4 linked regions of the Saccharomyces cerevisiae S288C genome follow. The gene in region 2 interacts genetically with the main gene of each other region. Each region holds a gene or a part of one and is shown on either strand. Other genes may lie near its edges.

Region 1 (8,013 bases), on a different chromosome or scaffold from region 2:
TTAAGGATTTATTAAGCTGTTCTTCTAAGTGTGACTGTTTATCCACGCTCTCGATCAATTGCGTAGACAGGGATGTAACCTGTATTGATACTCTTTTTGCTTCCTCAGAAGCATCCATATTGAAACCTTTATCAAACACAGCTAGTAAAGGAAAATATATCCCAGTGAACTAAAGGTCAAAATTTTCTACAACTTTTGGATGGAAATCAACGTTGCTACAGCTGCAAGTGACAAATGATATTATTGCACGAATCACTGTGCTTGTCACTTAGGTAAACGAGAGCCATGTTTTAAAGGTGCTTCAGCGAACGCGAAATACAAGTTCCGGGTAGTCACATGGAAACAATGGCACATAATAAAAGGAATTATTTCAAAAATGCAATAGTAGAGATCATTTGAGTAAAGATGAATGTAAAGTGTATCATAAGTGATCTATAAACATTAAAATTATATATATATATGTGATTTAATGATTCGTGACTATTTCTTTGTACTAGTGCTTGTTTGGATGTTTGTTTTGGTATTACTGTTGTCATAATTTTTTGGTTTAATATTTTATTTGAAACTTAGCCTGTTACCTGTGCTAGCCTCACCTATGGATCTTTCCTTGCGGGCCCTCAATTTTTCTAGATGTTCATCGAGTATGGAATTTTGCTTTACTGGTGTGTCAGAGCCTCTTAGCTCCTTTAATAACATTCTAGCTCTGTCACTAATTTCCTCTTGATCTTCCAGCGCAGATGTCTTGGATGGCGATGGTAAATCTTCAGAGGTATTCATAACACCCCTTGTGGCAAGCGGAGTGGGTGATTCAGCGTGAATCACTGTATCGGCAGTAGGGTCCATAGCTTCTGGAGAATAAAGAATAGACCCTTCTTCAGTATCCAAATCGTTGAGTAATTGTGGAGCGTTGTCTTTTTCAGAAAGATATTTTTTCCTCACTAGGGCTCTCTTTCTGGCGGAAGATGGGTCACTTTTAGCAGGACCTGCATTTTTCAACTGTTCTAATAGTTTATCCATAACAGCGCGCCTATCTTCTGCTTCATCCTCTTCATTTCCTTCAGATGAAGGCGAATTGCTGTTCTCTTTTTGTTTTTCCTTTTCTTGTGCCCTTTTTTGCTGTTCTTCCACTATTTTCTTATGCTTTATATAAAGTCTTTCTTCTTCTTCCGCGGCTAGATTTTGCGCTTGAGCTTTTTTGTATTCATTTATAAAATCTGCAAATTTCTTAAAGAATGAGATTTTTGCAAACTTATCACCAGAATCTTCACCGTACGTATGCATCAGACTTTCAAATTCCATGATAGTCAGCTTAACTTCGTCTTCTAACAAGTCCCCCTTTTTTCTGGCTTCCGGTAACACGGGCAATGTTTTTATCAAAACTTTATCTAATGGATGAAACTTTGAGGAATCGCTTAAATTACCAATTTCAACTGAACGCTCTACGTTTACAATCGATTGGCTAAAGTCCTTACAGTCGTTAACTAACTGCTCAATGGAAACTTTCACGACATCCAATACAGGTTCTAATTCACTTAGAAAGTCATTGAAGCTTGGATAATTTAACCTGACAATTTTTTCGACGTAATTTAGAAAGGTCATGCTATTGGTAGTATCCTTGATAAACGTCAACCTCTGCAAGGTTGAAAGTTTGAAACCTTGTGCCTGCTTAGAAGTGTCGTTCATGAAATTACCAACTGCTAAGATAACATTAAAGACATTGCGCAAGTTATCTGATTCTTGAAGCGCGCTAACAGCTTTGTCGACTTTTCTTAACTTTGCCAATAACTCATTATATTCTCTTTCATACGAAGTAACCACTGTGAGAGCTCTCATACGTGAACCCCAGTATGATTCTAGATTAACCATCAATTGCAAATAAATTTGGTCAGCCCTCTGTAAATCGTTTGGATCTTTTTCAGGGGGCTTGGCATCTTCGAGATTCCTCACGCCCTCCCAGTCTGTCGAATACGGGGCGTAATTCCTAGCTAAATTAACAGAAACTTCAATTATTTCAGATTTTGACAAAAACTCAACAACACTCGGTGTTTGCAAAAAATCCCTATCGCAGTTTAGAATCTTTTTCACCAGATCGGCAACCGAAAGTGATGAATACATATGCAAATTGATACCAAACTGTTGAGAAATATCCCTGGATAAAAATGTAATTTTCTGCAGATCTTCCTTGCGCTTGCTTGCTAATGATTTAATTTCCCTAGCGGCAAAGGCCTTTTCTAAATCAGCAAGAACACCCTTTTCGTATAAGTCATCTGCGAACTTCTCAGCTTTACCTGTACCCCAAATAGAATTATCAGTACAATCTAATTTTTCCCAATGCAGTTGCTTTAATTTCTTGTGTGGACGAGGATACTTTTCAAATAATGAGGGCGATTGAGGAAGTAATGGTGATGTTACAGCTGATTTGATTTGCGATGCCGGCATCATAGGTGGAGCTGGCGGAATGACGCCATCAGTAGATGAAGATAATACAGATGGTAGCGGCGGCGGTGGTGGTGTTTCTCCCTTGGGTTTGCCGAACAATGCCATGGGTGGAGGAGGAGGTGGTGGTGGTGGAGGGGGAGGAGCAGGAGAATCCCCAGTAGTTTCTTGCTTGACAGTGTCGTCTTCCGACTTTTTCTCTTTCTCCAACGATTCACCGAACAATTTGGCGGGAACTGGAGGAGGAGGAGGAGGAGGCGGTGGCGGCTGTGAGGAGAGTACAGATGATTGAGTAGAGAGATCTTCTGCGCCATCTGTATTATTCAGTTTACTCACAGCGCTGAAATCCGCTGTTTTATCTTCTTCATGATTTACCACACGCCCTTGCTTTCCGTTTTCCACATGTTGTCTCATGTCTTTCTCAGCTTTGTCAAAGGCGGAAGCTGCACTTGCCGTGCTGTTTTCCGGTAAAGATTTTTTATCTAGACCTTCATCTTCATTTTGTTCATATGGTTCAACTTTATTTACCTTCTGTGTTAACTCCTCTAAATATGGAGCAGAAGACACGGTGGATTTTCTGAGTCTGTTCATAAAGGTCTTTTCAACTTTACTATGTAGAGGTCCAATACCCGAACCGTTATTGTTCTCTCCAAAAGCAGCCGATGCAGTAACATTTTGACCAGTACCATATTTTTGAGATAAGGCATCGAGAAAAGACCCAGGACCTGATCCTGAAGATAGCTCTGAGTGTTCGCTCCTTAGTTCTTGAGTTGGAGATGCGTCTTGGTATATTTCCTCACTTTCATCATCAGAACTTGAAGAGGAAAGATCGCTTTCCCCATCTTCTTCTACTTGTATTTCGTGTTCGGTTTGAGTCTGAATATCTAACAACTGGTCCGTTATTCTATTAATCTCGTCTAACTTTTTCTGATATGTCTTAGGGTCAAGACTGGCATAGTTAGCGTCTTCTTCCGTTTCCACGTCCCCAGTATTTTTCTTTGGACTGTCCATAATCTCGTCGACATTAAAGTCAATACCAAATCCTTTGTATTTTGTTTCTAGTTCTTTCAGTCTCTTTAAAGCCAGAGATTTCTTTTCATTAAATAGCTCATTAACACGTTCTTCGACGTTAAATTTGGAAATATCATTACTTTCCATTTGGATTTCAGCCAAAGCCCGCCTTAGGTCATTTAGTTTATTTACGTCCGCCTCTTGAGGCTTGACTAAAGGTTTCCTATCCTTATTTTTCATCTTCTTCACTTTGGGCTTCTTAATATGTATTGGAGGTTCAAGACGATCTTTCTCAAATTCAGCAAAATTTGTCATCTCTAGTTGCCTGGCTTCATTTTCAATATTTTCCATTTGCATTCTTAACATTTTTAATCTCTTATTAGGTTGAAGTGTCATGCCGAATTTTTTTGAATCATCCTTGTAATCCTTTTTTGCTCTTGATAATCCGTCCTGTAACACCTTTTGGATATTCGCTTTCTCTGAAGAATTTAGGCTCGAGTTCATACCTCTGGTGCCTTCATTCTTATTGAAGCTTTCTTCAGGCCTCGAATTCAATATAGTCAACATTTTTCTCAATTCTACCTCTTGCTGATGCTTTTCCAAAAGATGCTTCTTTTTCAACTCTTCTAACTCAGCTTCCAGCTGCTGCATAACTCTCTGATTCTTAGCTAAAATACGATCTCTCTCATGCAACTCATCTTCTAACTGTCCAACGAGTCCGTGCTCCGCCTTGCTTAACTTTTCACTTAAAGAATCCCTTTCTGCCTGAATTTCTTCCAATTTCTTCGTTAGAGCTCTACTTTCTAATATAGCTCGACGTGCAACTTCATCAGTCTGCATGGCATCGTAAAGCCGCTGGATAGCCATATTCATATTAGTTTCTTCATCAGAAGTTGAGGCAACACTAACATTAGTCACCAAAGAATCCATAAGTTTCAATTGCTTAGTAAGTTTAGAGGAATTTTGGTTTTCTTCTATTAACTTTGAACTAGAAAGGAAAAGATGTTGAACTAAAGATACTAAAAGCTTTTCATTCTCGGTACCTTTACATATATCCCAAAGGTTTTTTAATAATGATAGTGGATCGTGTAAATCTACATTAAAAGCCTTATTGTTGGCCTCTAATTTAACGTTAAAATCGTCAAGTTTATTATTGTCATATAACTCAATTTGGTCAATTACCTTGTCGTAATCTAGCAGTTTTATTTTGTTCATAATTCGTAAAATTCCACAATTTTCTAGTTTCGTCCTTAATAGCATTCTTTGATTTATGTTATCAGAGCAAGAGCATAAATGATTGATAAAAACCATTGTCCATTGGCAGTATTCTAGAATCGCATTTTCACCCCCACCATTTTTAAATTCATCCGACGCGCCTACTAAGGAACCCATTTTTCCTCTTCCATCTAAAGTTTGTTCAACGGCAAATAACCAGGCTTGAATAATTTTCAAATGACTTTCCAAGGTTAAATGAGAGAAATACTGGGGCATTTTTTTGAAGTTTTGAATCATATGAAGATTTTGCCCTATCCTAAACTTTTTATCTAGTGAGGTAAGAACTGCTTCGAATCTGCTTTTATTTTTTTTTTCTAGCATACAAACAAAAATTTCAGTGGCCATTTTCCTTGTGGCCAGTTTCGTAGAGAATAAACCTTCTGCAACAGTATCAGTCATTAACCTATGTGTACTGAACTCATACAAACCTTGTGAGAGCATTGATAAGACTCTGAAGCATTTAAAAAATGAATTTTCTTTCTCTAATAATTCTTTAGTCAAGTTTTCTCGGGGTGCAGTCTTATAAATAGAGTTCATTAGTACATTAGCCATAGCAATGTGACCCTGATGGTCTATAAAAGCGTCTACCCAGTCTAACTGTTCAGTTCTTAAAGTTACCCATAAATCTTTCATCTCATCGCTAGTAAGTTTGTCTGCCAGGATTCGTTGCACATAATGTATCGGTGGTCTGTTTGTTCTGTCTCCTGGAAGAGTAGATGCACTCGTATTGTTCTCAGCCCCACCTCTATAAATATTGTTTAGAGATGGCTGCTTTTTCAAACTCCCGCTCACTAATTTTTTCCCCTTCGAGGTTGACGTACCTACCGATGAAAGAGTAGTAGAATGATTTAAACTGTTGCTGTATACAGTTGAGGTGGGAGAAGAGGCGCTTGTCATCAAAACAGATTTGGGAGACGAAAGAGATGAATTAGCCGTAAGGATAGGATGATGGTCCGACGCCATCGAAGTTCTGGAGGCAGTGGAAGAAGATGTAGTGTTTGCTCGCATTTTTTTTAGCTCATTTTGTAAATCCTGCTTAACAATCAGCCATTTCTTCTCAATGCTGTAGCCCATCAGAGCTTCTTGTTTGTCCTCTGATAAAGACTGAAAAATATTTCTTTTATACATAATATCTTCAAACAAAACTTCCACCTCGTATGGGTCCGACGGCATTTCTAAATAAATTTTACCATCGGGTGTAGTGAATTTGCTCAAGTTAGTTAGCGAACCTTGAGAGAGAAGACTTGATGCGGAGTGACTTTGCCCGGTATGCTGCCTTGTTAGCTTATTGGACGCCTGTGAAGAATTCCTCTTGGAATACGAATATTTCGATTGCATTGAATGCGACCTTGCGTGCTGTGAGGATACGGGAACATCTCCACTTAATTTACCATTCATATATTGAGACAAGTTTTGTGTGTTTAATGTCGATTTTTTATTCAACGGCCTCGCCTCAGTAGATGTAGACCTAGAAGGTGCATTCAGTTTTCTAAAAGATGACGAAGATGCAGGTGAAGTGGACACTTCGTTTCCCACTGGAGAGTGCTGTTGTTGGGATGCATAGGTCGGAGAACCCGTATTGCTATTCGTTGCATTTGAGTTAGCCAAACGCTTCAAATTTTGGAATATACCAGAACTCGAATTCGAATGACTTTCCTTTGAGTTCGAATGTTTGGAGCCTGAATTCTTCAACATTTCCTTTCCTTCTCTTCCTTTCTTGCTTCTCGTTTGTTGAAAAGGTTCAGGTGCCTTCTTTATGTGGCGTGTATTTAGAATTTAACTAGGCTTGAGTTAAAATGTTTCTCCTCAATACAGAAGATAGATACAAATGGCAAAAAAAAAAGTAAAAAATGGCCCAACTGTATGAGACGTATAAAAAACGTGAAGGGTGAAGAAAAGAATGCCACTGTCCAATTTTATGCTTAATACGAAAATAATTAACACACAGCCGTCAGTGTCCTCTTATCTGTAGGAAGGGTCCGTGCTATTGTTCTTAAAAGGGATTCTAGTTTTCCACATCTGTTTTTTCTTTCTTTCCCTCTTCCACGTCAAAAACTTCCTCTAACCGATGTCGGGTAAGCCATGGAAATTACGGGCGATGACTTTCGGCGGCTAACAACGAAACAACTAGGGAGTAATCATATAATCACAGGAAAAGAGTTGAGCAAGGATTTGGCAAATATACATATACATACATACATACATACATACATATATATGTGTGTGTGTGGTATGGAGTATTATTCTAAAATTATGAAAGGACATCCCAAACTCGTTGCCACCTTGTTTTACATTCTGGCTCTATCCATACCAACTCCTCTATTTGCCGGCGGTCAGAATCGATATCGATATCCTGCAGCTTCCAGAGTAAGCGGCACTTAAACCAAACTTGGAATGATAACCATATGGCCAAAAATAGGAATATTGATATATATGCAGCGACAAAGTCTATAGGCTGAAAAGTAGGTGCGAAAGCGGTGAAGCCCTGGATCAGAACAATTAGAGCGATGAAAAAAGATGCATAATATGCCAAAAAAGGCATCATTTGAGCTTTATAAGGTAAGTCATCCCTCGATATACCACGTTTCCTTATGGCTTGCATGAAACGGATATGAGAAAATGAAATCAAAAGCCAGGCAAAGAAACCGGCCACACCAGTTATGTTCAATAACCAGTTAAAGGCCTTGCCGCTGCCTGCAGAAACCTCTAAGAAAGCCAAAAATCCGAACACGGATGTAGATAGAACAGAAAAGTATGGAACACCACCTCTGGTCACGTTAGACAAGAACCTTGGCGCCAAGCTATTTTTAGACAGACTATACAGTACTCTTGAGCCAATGTACACATTAGAGTTACCTGCGGAAAGAATGGTGATTAGCACGACCGCGTTAAATATATCTGGGAGAACTTTTGTGCCTGAATTCTCAATGCTTATCATAAAGGGCGATGAAGAGACAAATATACCGTCACTATCCAACTTTGGGTCATTATATGGGACCAAAAGGCCAATGAAAAATAGTGAAAGAATGTAAAAGACTAGAATCCTCACTACAACTTTCTTTATTGCCCTCGGGAGAGCTTTTCTTGGGTTAGCCGCTTCACCAGCGGTTATCCCAACCAGTTCAGTACCTTGGTACGTAAATGCAGCATTAATCAAAGAGGAAACCCATCCGAGAAAACGGCCCTCATTTTTATCACTGGAGATAATGCCAGGCCCCCAGGCTCCTGGATTTCTCCAGTACCTGAAACCGATGGGTCCATCAGATTGTCCCGCACCACACACAACACAGA
Region 2 (2,783 bases):
ACTGGTGCATGAAATCTTTTCATATTGAGAATGAAGTGTTCCATGCTGTAGTCACAACCTTATTGAATTATGTGGATGCAATTTGTTTTAACGAATTAATCATGAAACGTAATTTCTTGTCGTGGAAAAGGGGTCTTCAATTGAACTACAACGTTACTAGATTAGAGGAATGGTGCAAGACGCATGGCTTGACAGATGGTACTGAGTGCTTACAACATTTGATTCAGACCGCTAAGCTACTGCAAGTCCGTAAGTATACTATCGAAGACATTGATATCTTAAGAGGAATTTGTTATTCGCTAACACCTGCACAATTGCAAAAATTGATTTCACAATACCAGGTGGCAGACTATGAGTCTCCAATTCCACAGGAAATCTTAAGATACGTTGCTGATATAGTTAAGAAAGAAGCTGCGTTATCTTCATCAGGTAATGATTCTAAGGGTCACGAGCATAGCAGCAGTATATTTATCACTCCAGAAACAGGTCCATTTACTGACCCATTCAGTTTGATAAAGACAAGAAAATTTGACCAAGTAGAAGCCTATATACCAGCGTGGTTATCCTTGCCCTCAACTAAGAGAATAGTTGACCTTGTTGCCCAACAAGTCGTTCAAGACGGCCACTAAAACTGATGGCGCGAGAAACAAAATTGTACATGAATGCTAAAAAAAGAAATGACAAAAAAAGAGAAAAAAAAAAATGAAACTACATAGTTAATTAATAATAGAAGTATTTGTCAATAGTATGATAATGAAATCGATATTATGGAAGATATTAACCGCGCGCCGTATTAGTGTACACTATATTAAACTACATTTTGCTTCTTACTGAATTTATAAATTATGATTATATTATTATTACTATTATGACTACTGTATATATTTTTTAGAATTAGCATCGGGAACCGATGAGCGTTAGCTGAAATGGACGACGATAGGAACGATAATTACCACTAGTAAAATAATAACAACTAAGAATAAACACATTCTCATTTTTAGATCTTTCCACCACATTTGCTTTCTGACCCTGTTGGCGCCTCTCTTGAATCCTTGTGCGGAGATAGCCAAGTTATCAGCTTTGTCCTCAATGGATGTTAGCCTTTCACCACGTTCAGCAACCTTGTTGATATTATCTCTCATTATTCCCACCGTGTCATCAATCTCTTGTCTCAAAGCAGCAGTCTTGTTTTGGGAATTTGGGTTTGCGCCTGAGTTACTCTCCTCTGGAGGCACATATGGATCGTATGGCACTGATGACGACATCGTTGCGCGTTCTTATTTTGTATTTGGAAGTGTTTCGAATGTATGCCTGACTTACAGATACTATTCACTGAGCAGATAGTTTACCTTTCTATAAAATATTAAAGGCTGTTTCAACCAAAACTTGAAGGAAAACTAACTGGCTCCCCGCTTTTGCATCTTTTGGGTGCGACAACTGGTGTTTGTTTGGTTGCGCTGCACCATTCGCGCTATAATGCCAAAATCCGAAGAATTTTGAGCCACTTTTGCGGAAGACAGGGAGAAAAAATAAAAAAAAAGTCACGCGTATATCATGTGACCAAGATCACTATAAACGCTCCGTGGAATGCGCTTTTAGGGCGACTGAATGATTCCATGGTCATTGTTACAGCCGCCCGTGGCTTTGTTCCACGGACTGATAAAGGGATACGCTAAGACCAGAAAAACCCTTAATATTCAATATAGTACAGTACTACTACAGAATTGGTCGGCATATTTTTATTTTGTTCGTATTAATAATACACCTGCTGTCATCAGTACCAATAATTTGATAGGTTTTCCCCACATAGTGCGCCTTATGTAAGTATATAAGGAAGGACGGTTGGGCAAGCATCTTACTTTCTTATCTCTCCCCGTGACAGAACCATAGAAGATATCTAGCGTTATTATATTTCTATACTTAGTAAACGTTTCCGGTATAGTAGAAAAATCAAACAATAATTTCTGGTCTTACATAGTTGTTAGGATGTTGCAAGCGCCCTCAAGTTCAAACTCGGGTTTGAATCAAGGAAATGCTGCGCCGGACGGCCCACCTAACGAAACACAGCCGTACGAAGGCCTCGACGCGGCAGCTCAAGAAGAAATAAAAGAATTGGCAAGAACGCTGACGAGCCAATCTTCCCTTTTATCGCAAGAAAAGCGTATTACCGGCACTGGCGACCCGAATACACTAACTGCTGCTTCTTCATCGTCATTGAGCCGGTCAATTTTCGCTAGTGATATCAAGGGAGTTAACCCAATCCTTTTGGACGTCAATGATCCAGACTACGATGAGACATTGGATCCTCGATCAGAAAATTTCTCGAGTGTCAGATGGGTACGAAATATGGCACAAATATGCGAGAATGATTCGGATTTCTATAAACCGTTTTCATTAGGTTGCGCCTGGAAAGATTTGAGTGCCTCCGGTGATTCTGCCGATATAACATATCAGGGAACATTTGGTAATATGCCCATCAAATACTTGAAAATGAGTTGGAGGTGCATATCCCGACGTCTTTTCCACCGGACACATGGCAAGAGTGAAGATAATGACTCCGGTTTCCAAATTTTGAAGCCGATGGACGGATGCATCAATCCGGGGGAACTACTTGTTGTGCTTGGACGACCCGGTGCAGGATGTACTACGCTGCTGAAATCTATATCTGTAAATACACACGGATTCAAGATTTCTCCGGACACAATCATCACGTACAATGGATTCTCCAACAAAGAGATCAAAAACCATTACCGTGGTGAAGTGGTCTACAATGCAGAATCAGA
Region 3 (5,613 bases), on a different chromosome or scaffold from region 2:
TCCACCAGAGAATGCTTCAGAATTGAAGAAGAAGGCCAAATCTGCAGAAGACGCGTCAGAATTCGTTGGTGTCGGCTCTATTGCAGCCGGTGGTCGATATGATAATTTGGTCAACATGTTCTCTGAAGCTTCCGGCAAAAAATCTACTCAAATTCCATGTGTTGGTATTTCATTTGGTGTTGAAAGAATATTTTCTTTGATCAAACAAAGAATTAATTCCTCTACAACTATAAAGCCAACGGCTACACAGGTGTTCGTTATGGCTTTTGGTGGTGGTAAGGACTGGACTGGTTATTTACCCGAAAGAATGAAGGTTACTAAGCAATTATGGGATGCTGGCATTGAAGCTGAATATGTCTATAAGGCCAAGGCTAATCCTAGGAAGCAATTCGATGCTGCTGAAAAAGCGGGTTGTCACATTGCCGTAATCCTCGGTAAGGAGGAGTACTTAGAAGGTAAATTACGTGTCAAAAGATTGGGCCAAGAATTTGCCGATGATGATGGTGAATTGGTTAGTGCGGCTGACATTGTTCCTATTGTTCAAGAAAAGTTATCACAAATTCATGAAGATGGTCTAAATGAGGTCACTCGTTTAATTAAAGGATTATAAACTTGATAGCTCATGTATTTACAAACCTTCGTAAAACTAGACATGTATAATGAAAAATAAATCGATTCAAATTAATTTATAAAGCATATAGAACTAAAAAAAAATAAGTATAGAAGGAAGTTGCTCATTACCCTGTATGAATTAGTGTATGTATTTAAAAACCAAGGGCACCTTTCATTACATCTTTTCCAGTCTGCTCAACAGCCTCGTTCATTGTTTCTCCCATGGCGGTAGCATAGTCGTTGAATCTATCTTCAACGGCGTCCCATCTAGTTTCTACAGCTCGAGAAACATTTCTTAGTACCCCGTAACTACTGTTCCTGCCCTTACGGGTGGGCTTGGTATACTGGTGTTCCGGATGGTTCGCATTATTATCGTCTGAAGAACGCTCCGAGAAACTTCCCTCAGCAATGATGCTCTCTTTGTATTTGGATGCAGGTCTATTCACGCCACCCAATAATTCATTTAATTGAGCGGGAGTACAATATACAGTGCCTCTTGCCCACTGTAATGAATTTACTTGTGGCCTATAGGGAATCCTGATTCCATTGATGTACAGTGTGTCAGAAACTGGCGCTAGCGTATCCTGTTCCTTGACAGTAGAAAATAGTGACGCCTGAAATTCACTCACTCGAATCGCTATATCACCATTTCTTAAAACAGATGATTCTGTAATGTATTTTGCGGCAATTGGAAATGGAATATGTTCAGACATTTGTTCTTTGAAATCTGGAATAGTAAAAACTCTTAGATGGCCATTGATTTCTAATGTAATTATTACGGTTAGGTTCTTCCTATCATTATTTTTCTCAACGGTTGAGATGTAAGATAAACCTGTCGCGGCAAGCGGGTATTTGAAACCTTTATGTGTACTTTTAGATTTGCCCAGTGTTATTAATCTGATATCATCGAATCCAGTTATTAATACAATACCAGGAATGCAAAGGCCTTTACTTAAATTCTGCATTTTTGGAATAGTTGCCAAGCAGCTAGATTTTGTTTCCTTTGAAAATGCATCAATTTTGTGTATCGGACCCTTACTGGTAACATTAGTAATATCCATTAGTTGCACATCGAACTTTCCACCTGATGCAGGAAGAATTTTGTATGTGATTACCTCGCCCATATCAGTACCACAGACCATCAATATACTAGAGTAACCATCGTCTCCATACTCCATAATTACGAATTCGATGCAGGTAACACATGCGCTTTGAGCTCCCGAGATTTCTCTAATGTTTTCCATGTAAATGATTGCAGGACCTCTTCTATCGATCAACATAAGGCTTCCGGCAGCATATGCGATTCCAACAAATCCAATATTACTGTTGTTGATTGCAGATGTTTTCCCTTTGTTGGCATGCACGGCAGTTGATGGCATAAATCCCTGCCTAACACCGGTAGGTGCCCTGTCTCTCACATCGACGAGAACACCATTCGTATTATTCAAAGAAAACCGCCTGAAATTCATCTCCAGGTCACCGCTTTCTGGTCTGTTCTCAACACTGTAAAACTGGTTTACTTCATATTTGAATAAAACAACGTCTCCTGTTTCAATTGACACCGCCAACTCGAGAGTCTCTGCGGCAAAAGATATCTTATCAACTGCTAGTTCTTTGGCCTTGTTCAACGTTCTTGATAGATTCACTTCAAAGCTAGCATTATCTTGTATATCCCCATGGGAAGCATCGTATATCCTAACTGAGCCATTAGAATGGCCGGTAATGAATGCTGTACCGTACTCAGCGGGAAGTTTTTGCCTTTTTGTTCTAACCCCTCCCTTCAACAAATAATCCTTGTTTTGAGCTGCAGAAAGCGCACCAAGCCATAATTTGTTTGGTACAGAAGCGGCCATTGAAGTCGTGGCTAATGGTCTCAGCCAGGAAAGATTTTGAGGGAATAAAGAGGCTTTATCTGTAAATATTCCAGAAGGATATAGCATTGTTTCTATCTCACCGTTACCTAGGATTAACAAAATTAACCCCGGATTATGACATCCTGCAAAATACGGGGACTGTCTTGGAATTGGTAGTATATTCACTATTGGCACATTGGTTGGTAAGGGAAATATCTTCATTTGTTTCGGATTTGCATAGTAGTTCTTCATACCTTCATAAGAGGTTATTGAATATCTAGGTGTGTAACCGAGGTCGATCATAGTGAGACTTTGATTATCTCCTCTGCTGATTGACTTATGAGAGATGAGTAGTGAAGTATATTCTGGATTGTTTTCACACATCCAATACACTTTCGAAATTTTGGCAGCATTAGTACTAGAATCGCGTATGTAATCAGGTTGTGGAACATTGATTTCTGTCTCAAACACTGTCCTTGCCATGATCATATGGCCTGAATTAGCATCCCAGAAAACCAAGGAATTGTCTTCATGAATAGTGATAATGTGCAGTGAATTAGGGTGATATAAGGACTGAATAACTTTGGGAGTTCTCTTTTCATTGGTTTTTTCTGAGAAGTCGCCTCCTGGAGCAAAAGGTGGTAATTCGTATATGAAGGATTGTTTGATTTCGTTCTCAACCAATGAGTATGTTAGAGTTACATACTCATATGATATTAAAACAGTTCCAATATCTCTAGGGTTCCACTGAATGGATACTATAGGTGATAGTCTTGCAGCCGGAAAAAATGAGCTTTTTTGTAGGTTGTCTAATTTGAAGGAGGAAAGTTGATCCCTATCTATGTCGTAAACTATCATTGAACCATTTTGAAGGCCGATTAGCATCCAGTCTAAGGATGCATCTGTGTCAATTGATGTTATTTTCCCCGGAACAAACACTGTTGTAAGTACTTTTTGAGAATATAACGATAAAACATACACAGTATCTTTTGCGTTAATGACCACCAAATAGATACCTTTCACAAATCTCATTTCTTTTATAGCAGATCTATCCTCCAGTTTTATAACCACTTCCACTTGTTGCTGGCCATAAATATGGACTTCCCCTGTGACTGTAGCAATTGCCAATAAATTTTGGGTGAAATCGAAAGCGGCTGCGATCGGTTTACTGCTCATCCCATATTTGTTGGTTTCTGCTAGTGAAAAAATTTTATTTTTGTTATTTGAACTTATAGGAATCTTCAAAGAAGAGGAAGATTTCGCATCTTTGGAAATAGTAGATGTCTTTGAATTTTTGGATTTAAAAGACGCCTTTGAGTTCTCAATGGGTGTCTCTGAATTTTGGCCTTTTAGGGACTTAAATGCTTCCTTAACATTTTTCAGACGTTTGCTACCGAACATTTTGTTTTGCTCTTATGTGTATAGAGAATTAGTCAGAAATAGTATTGCTTGCTCTTCTTGTTTTATATTTAACATATTCCAAGATTTAAATTCTAACGTGATTAGGTTCATTTCGTTTGAATTTTCATTTTTTACTTTTAACAAAAGCGCCGAACAGGATTCTAGAAATTAAACAAAACCAACTAAACTATAAAAACGGATATTTAGTTCGGTATTGAAATGCTAAAGAATAAAGAAAAGACGACCTTTCTAAGTTATTTTTACTAAGTGTTCCATGAAAGTAAATAATAAGCCAAACTTTTACAAGAATAGCATAAAAATACATACTCATTATACATAATGCAATATTAAAACCTTTATTTTATCCGCTGTTAAGGATTAGCTTCAGCATACGGTGTTCCCCTGCACTCAGTTCTTCTGCATCGCTTAAACCTTCTTCTTCCATAATCACCGGGCCACTCCATGGTCTTTCTTCTATCTTGTCATCATTTATTATAAAATCTCTGGATAGCAACTTCTTAATATCTACATGTTCTATGAGCCCAATTAAATTTGTTACTTGCTCTTTTGCCTTTGATGAGACAGTTTGGAGTATTCTTGATGCACCGGGTAGAGTTTCCAAAACCTCAAAAAAATGCATAATTTCCTCCTTAAAAATTTGGACAGTATCAAAATCACAATGTTTACACTTTTCTAAAATAACCAATAATTTAGGTTCAGTAACCAATCTTTCAAGAGCCTTGAATTGTTCAGATTTTATAAAGATATCCAGTACATTGATTTTTAAAAGATATTTTTGGGGCGATTTAACTATATCAAAAACCTTCTTTCGGGATCTGGACAAGCTGTTTGAAGCTTGTGTTCTCTTTTTCACCAAAGTAGTCAGCTCTTTGAGCCGGTACAAGTCTTCGAGCTGATCATTGGCAAAATCTATTCTTGTTTGCACTTGTTCCTCGGTTAAGGACCCCAATGAATTATTTTCAAAACAGGCAGTTAATGGGGTACCTCCTGTAAGCTCCCTTTTCATTGACCAATATTTGCAAATATCAAATGCGCCTGCTGGTGGGTTAGCTAAGCCAAAAAAATCAACGACCTTTTGCAATATTTCAGCAAAAACATGTGGTGCTACCGGCGTTTGATTAGGTGTTTTCCAAATTGTTTTGTTGAATTTTGAATTTGTCCTATCATTAGCTTCATTATGCTGAGGAGTTTCGGTTTGTAATGTAGAGAGTAGAGAGAAGTATTTTCTAGCTTTATTAATACCTTCTATACTCGTTTGCCATCCTCTAGGTGCATGCTTGTGGCAGAAACTTTCGACTGAATACTTTTGGGAGAATTGATTAGAGGCCAATTCTTGAATAGTGCATTTCCCTTTACTCATGTAGAGACCAGCTCGACGGGCACACGTGACATGATATGCTGTAAAACAGTTTCTTTGAAAGCACTGAATGCAAGCACCCATCTTCTTTTTACAGATGTAGCAGTTAAGTTTCCATCGTGATACGCTAACATTTTGAACGCCTTCTATAGGTTCCATATAATGTAAGTTTGAAAAGTATAGCTCTGGAAGCCATAGAGCACAAATGTTATGTACCCAAGAACCGGTGTCTGTTTGTTTGAATGCACCTGTATGACTTGGACACATTAGACAAGTGGCAAAGTTATTTTTTGAGATCATACATCGTCTACATAACCATTTTCCTTCCGGGATAAAAATTATACCGTAACATTCTTGATGCACAGCAAT
Region 4 (3,652 bases), on a different chromosome or scaffold from region 2:
TTCTATCTGGATAACAATCTTTCTTTGGTTTGCAGAAATATCATTAAAAAACAATCCATAACTACTAAGGAAGGGTATAAATGGTTTGGTTTACTAATTTTATATTTTGATTTGATTAGCAATTATAATCTCTAATATACTATTTCTGTAGCCAAAAATCTGCAATGTCAATAAGTAGCAAGTGCCGCTTACTCGTGAGAATATCAACCTTATAGCATATGTTTTCTATTTTTTTTTTTTGCTTATGGAGATAATGAACATTGTACACATGAACAAAGTGGTAGTTCTCTCTCCTTGATTTTTTGTGCTTGCGATATATATAATTGTTACATTCAATGGCCATGCTAAATAAAGGTTTTAGCTTTGTTTCACTCGTGCCCAGGATAATTTTAAGGCGCAAACATCCAAATAATGAAGAAAAGGATAACGATTGTCCCAGGTCTAAAACATTTTTTAATAATAGCCGTCATTAGCCTTGCAACAGTACAACAACGCCGATGGGAAAGGATTGCAATTCTATTTGTAATTAATAGGTTGTATAATAATTTACGATATGGCCTTGTGGTAACTATTTATGAATACTGGTGTAGACTTATTTATAATCCTAGAGAGTAAACCTCTTCTTGTCAAGATATGAAAAATACAAATTTAGAGACAGAAGTATTACGTGTAAACTTTACAGAACCACTTCTCCATTATAGCTACAATGTGAATTGAACTTTCCTTGAATGTTGAGAAAAACTATATTAAAATTAGAAATCGTCCCATTTGTCCTCGTCCTGTTCATTCTTCTTATCGTTATTATCAATCTTTTGATATTCTGTATGGGTTGTATTCCCTGCTGTAGAGCTATCCTCTGCATTACCATTGAAATTTTTAGTGAAGTTACTAAATGCTTGGAATCCATAACTACTCGTTTCTTGAAACTTTTGGCCAAACTGGGCAGCTGCTCTCTTCGTTTCTTCTGACAACTCTCCGGATTGCCATTGCTGGACGTGAGGCTTAATAACCGTTTCGTTTACGTCCTCGAACGATTTGGTTACAGCGCTGGAGAAGAGGCCCCATCCTCTGCTCAATGTTCCCAAAGGATCAGCTTGAAAATTTTCCAGGCTCAAAGTATTGCTGGACCCTGCAGACCGTTCTTGTGGAGGTTTTGCGGGTGTACTTCCAAAGCCCTGATATTTACCACCTTGAGAAGGGGGCAAATGATCTGGTCTAGATTGGTTCTTCTTGCCCAGCTCAGCAAAATAAGCTTCGTTCTTCTCCTTTTGAAAATTGGCACCATTACTAGAGTTTGCTGGTGTTGCAGATCGACGGTTCTCCAGTGGTGTCCCTTCTCGACTTTGAGCAACACCAGGCGTAGCGGATGCAGCGGTTTGAGAGGTTGCTGATAACTTGGAAGCATCAAAATCCAAATGCTCACGCTCTTCAAATACTCTATCTTCGCAAAGACATGTTAACTTTTCTTTATAATCCTCTGCGACGGGGTTATCGTATTTCACTTTTTGTGGTAAACTCAGGTCAATATTATGCGACTTGAACCATTCAGTCAAAGGTTCGTTACCACCTTTTTCCATACGAAGAAGTTCCTCCGGTTTAAACTGATCCATAGTGATAGATCTTACAAAAGATATATGCACACCAAGCCCTCTATGGATACCGGCACATTCAAGGCAAATGAAAGCTCCAAACTTAGGCGTGGCCCATTGTGGATTTGGCGCACCACAATCCATACATTTCTTATTTGCACCAATCTTTTGCAATTGCAAAAGACGCCTGCGGGTATCTGGGTCCACTTTCCAATCTGACATGCTCTATAATCCGCGATAAAATTGCTCAATTGGCACCATTTAAACTCAGAATCACGTCCATATTTCTGCTTTCATTCTTGATATAGTTGTGCAATTTGGTTCTTGACAAAAACTGGCGTTGCTTGCGGGTAACCGCGCGATTTTTAAAGTGCCAAACTGCGAAAAGAATATAACAAGCTTTCGAGCAAGATCAATGTACCCAGCAAGTGAAATAATAAAACAAGAGCCCCAAAGATCTGCTTATAATTGCTAGAAAAATATATTATTAATCATGAGCACTGCTTCAACACCGCCAATTAACTTATTTCGTAGAAAGAAAGAACATAAACGTGGGATCACATACACAATGTTACTATGTGGGCCAGCAGGTACAGGAAAGACCGCCTTTGCTAACAATCTATTGGAAACTAAGATCTTTCCGCATAAGTATCAATACGGTAAATCAAATGCTAGTATTAGCTCTAACCCAGAAGTAAAAGTTATTGCTCCGACAAAAGTTGTTTCATTTAATTCGAAAAATGGGATTCCATCTTATGTTTCTGAATTCGATCCAATGAGAGCCAATTTGGAACCAGGTATTACCATCACCTCCACTTCATTAGAACTTGGGGGCAACAAAGATCAAGGAAAGCCAGAAATGAACGAGGATGATACCGTGTTTTTCAACTTGATTATGACGCATGGTATAGGCGAAAACTTGGACGATTCGTTGTGTTCTGAGGAAGTTATGTCGTATTTAGAACAACAATTTGACATTGTTTTAGCTGAGGAAACCAGAATTAAAAGGAATCCGAGGTTTGAGGACACCAGGGTTCACGTAGCATTATATTTTATTGAACCCACTGGACACGGTCTGAGAGAAGTCGATGTAGAGCTCATGAAAAGCATCTCCAAATACACAAATGTACTGCCAATAATAACAAGAGCTGACTCATTCACCAAGGAGGAGCTAACTCAATTCAGGAAAAATATTATGTTTGATGTGGAAAGATACAACGTCCCAATTTACAAATTTGAGGTTGACCCTGAAGATGATGATTTGGAATCCATGGAAGAGAATCAAGCCTTGGCATCCTTGCAACCATTTGCTATTATAACTTCAGATACCAGAGATAGTGAAGGTAGATACGTTAGGGAGTATCCGTGGGGGATAATATCAATCGACGACGACAAAATTTCGGATTTGAAAGTTTTAAAAAACGTCCTGTTTGGTTCTCACTTACAAGAATTCAAAGACACCACGCAAAATTTGCTTTACGAGAATTACCGTTCCGAAAAACTATCGTCCGTGGCCAACGCTGAAGAAATTGGTCCTAATTCTACAAAGAGACAGTCAAATGCTCCAAGTTTAAGCAACTTTGCCTCTTTGATAAGCACTGGTCAATTCAATTCTTCTCAAACTCTTGCAAACAATTTGAGAGCGGACACACCAAGAAACCAAGTAAGTGGAAACTTTAAGGAAAACGAATACGAAGACAATGGCGAACATGATTCAGCAGAAAATGAACAGGAAATGTCTCCCGTGAGACAGTTGGGTAGAGAAATAAAACAAGAAAATGAAAATTTGATAAGATCTATCAAAACAGAATCTTCACCAAAATTCTTGAACTCTCCGGACTTACCAGAGCGTACCAAGTTAAGAAATATTTCAGAAACCGTTCCATATGTCTTGAGACATGAAAGAATTTTAGCAAGACAACAAAAACTGGAAGAGTTAGAGGCCCAGTCAGCTAAAGAATTACAAAAAAGAATTCAAGAATTAGAAAGAAAAGCACACGAATTGAAATTGAGGGAAAAACTAATAAATCAGAATAAACTAAACGGTTCATCATCTTCAATCA

What was found.
Region 1: mutations in SNC2 (region 2) and BNI1 are lethal when combined (synthetic lethality), as found in Saccharomyces cerevisiae (4 studies listed by BioGRID, with this or other methods).
Region 3: mutations in SNC2 (region 2) and SRO7 together harm fitness more than expected from each alone (negative genetic interaction), as found in Saccharomyces cerevisiae (3 studies listed by BioGRID).
Region 4: mutations in SNC2 (region 2) and GCS1 together harm fitness more than expected from each alone (negative genetic interaction), as found in Saccharomyces cerevisiae (4 studies listed by BioGRID, with this or other methods).

What each region holds. Positions count from the first base shown.
Region 1 is NC_001146.8:128,967-136,979, forward strand, and holds BNI1 (formin BNI1), read right to left. Parts: upstream 6,418-8,013; coding exon 556-6,417; downstream 1-555. Other genes in the region: guanine nucleotide exchange factor SEC2, read right to left, coding at 1-118; arginine permease ALP1, read right to left, coding at 6,974-8,013. UniProt on the Saccharomyces cerevisiae protein: Required for the assembly of F-actin structures, such as actin cables and stress fibers. Nucleates actin filaments. Binds to the barbed end of the actin filament and acts as a leaky capper, slowing both polymerization and depolymerization.
Region 2 is NC_001147.6:929,817-932,599, forward strand, and holds SNC2 (SNAP receptor SNC2), read right to left. Parts: upstream 1,266-2,783; coding exon 918-1,265; downstream 1-917. Other genes in the region: MYO2 (myosin 2), read left to right, coding at 1-629; ATP-binding cassette multidrug transporter PDR10, read left to right, coding at 1,987-2,783. UniProt on the Saccharomyces cerevisiae protein: SNC1 and SNC2 are vesicle-targeting proteins essential for normal secretory traffic between the Golgi and the plasma membrane. They may also be involved in vesicle fusion.
Region 3 is NC_001148.4:632,376-637,988, reverse strand, and holds SRO7 (Rab GTPase-binding protein SRO7), read right to left. Parts: upstream 3,867-5,613; coding exon 765-3,866; downstream 1-764. Other genes in the region: HTS1 (histidine--tRNA ligase), read left to right, coding at 1-610; NTO1 (Nto1p), read right to left, coding at 4,228-5,613. UniProt on the Saccharomyces cerevisiae protein: Acts as an allosteric regulator of polarized exocytosis by promoting the targeted fusion of vesicles with the plasma membrane.
Region 4 is NC_001136.10:50,363-54,014, forward strand, and holds GCS1 (GTPase-activating protein GCS1), read right to left. Parts: upstream 1,812-3,652; coding exon 753-1,811; downstream 1-752. Other genes in the region: septin SHS1, read left to right, coding at 2,083-3,652. UniProt on the Saccharomyces cerevisiae protein: GTPase-activating protein (GAP) for ARF1 and ARF2. Involved in intracellular vesicular transport. Required for transport from the trans-Golgi network.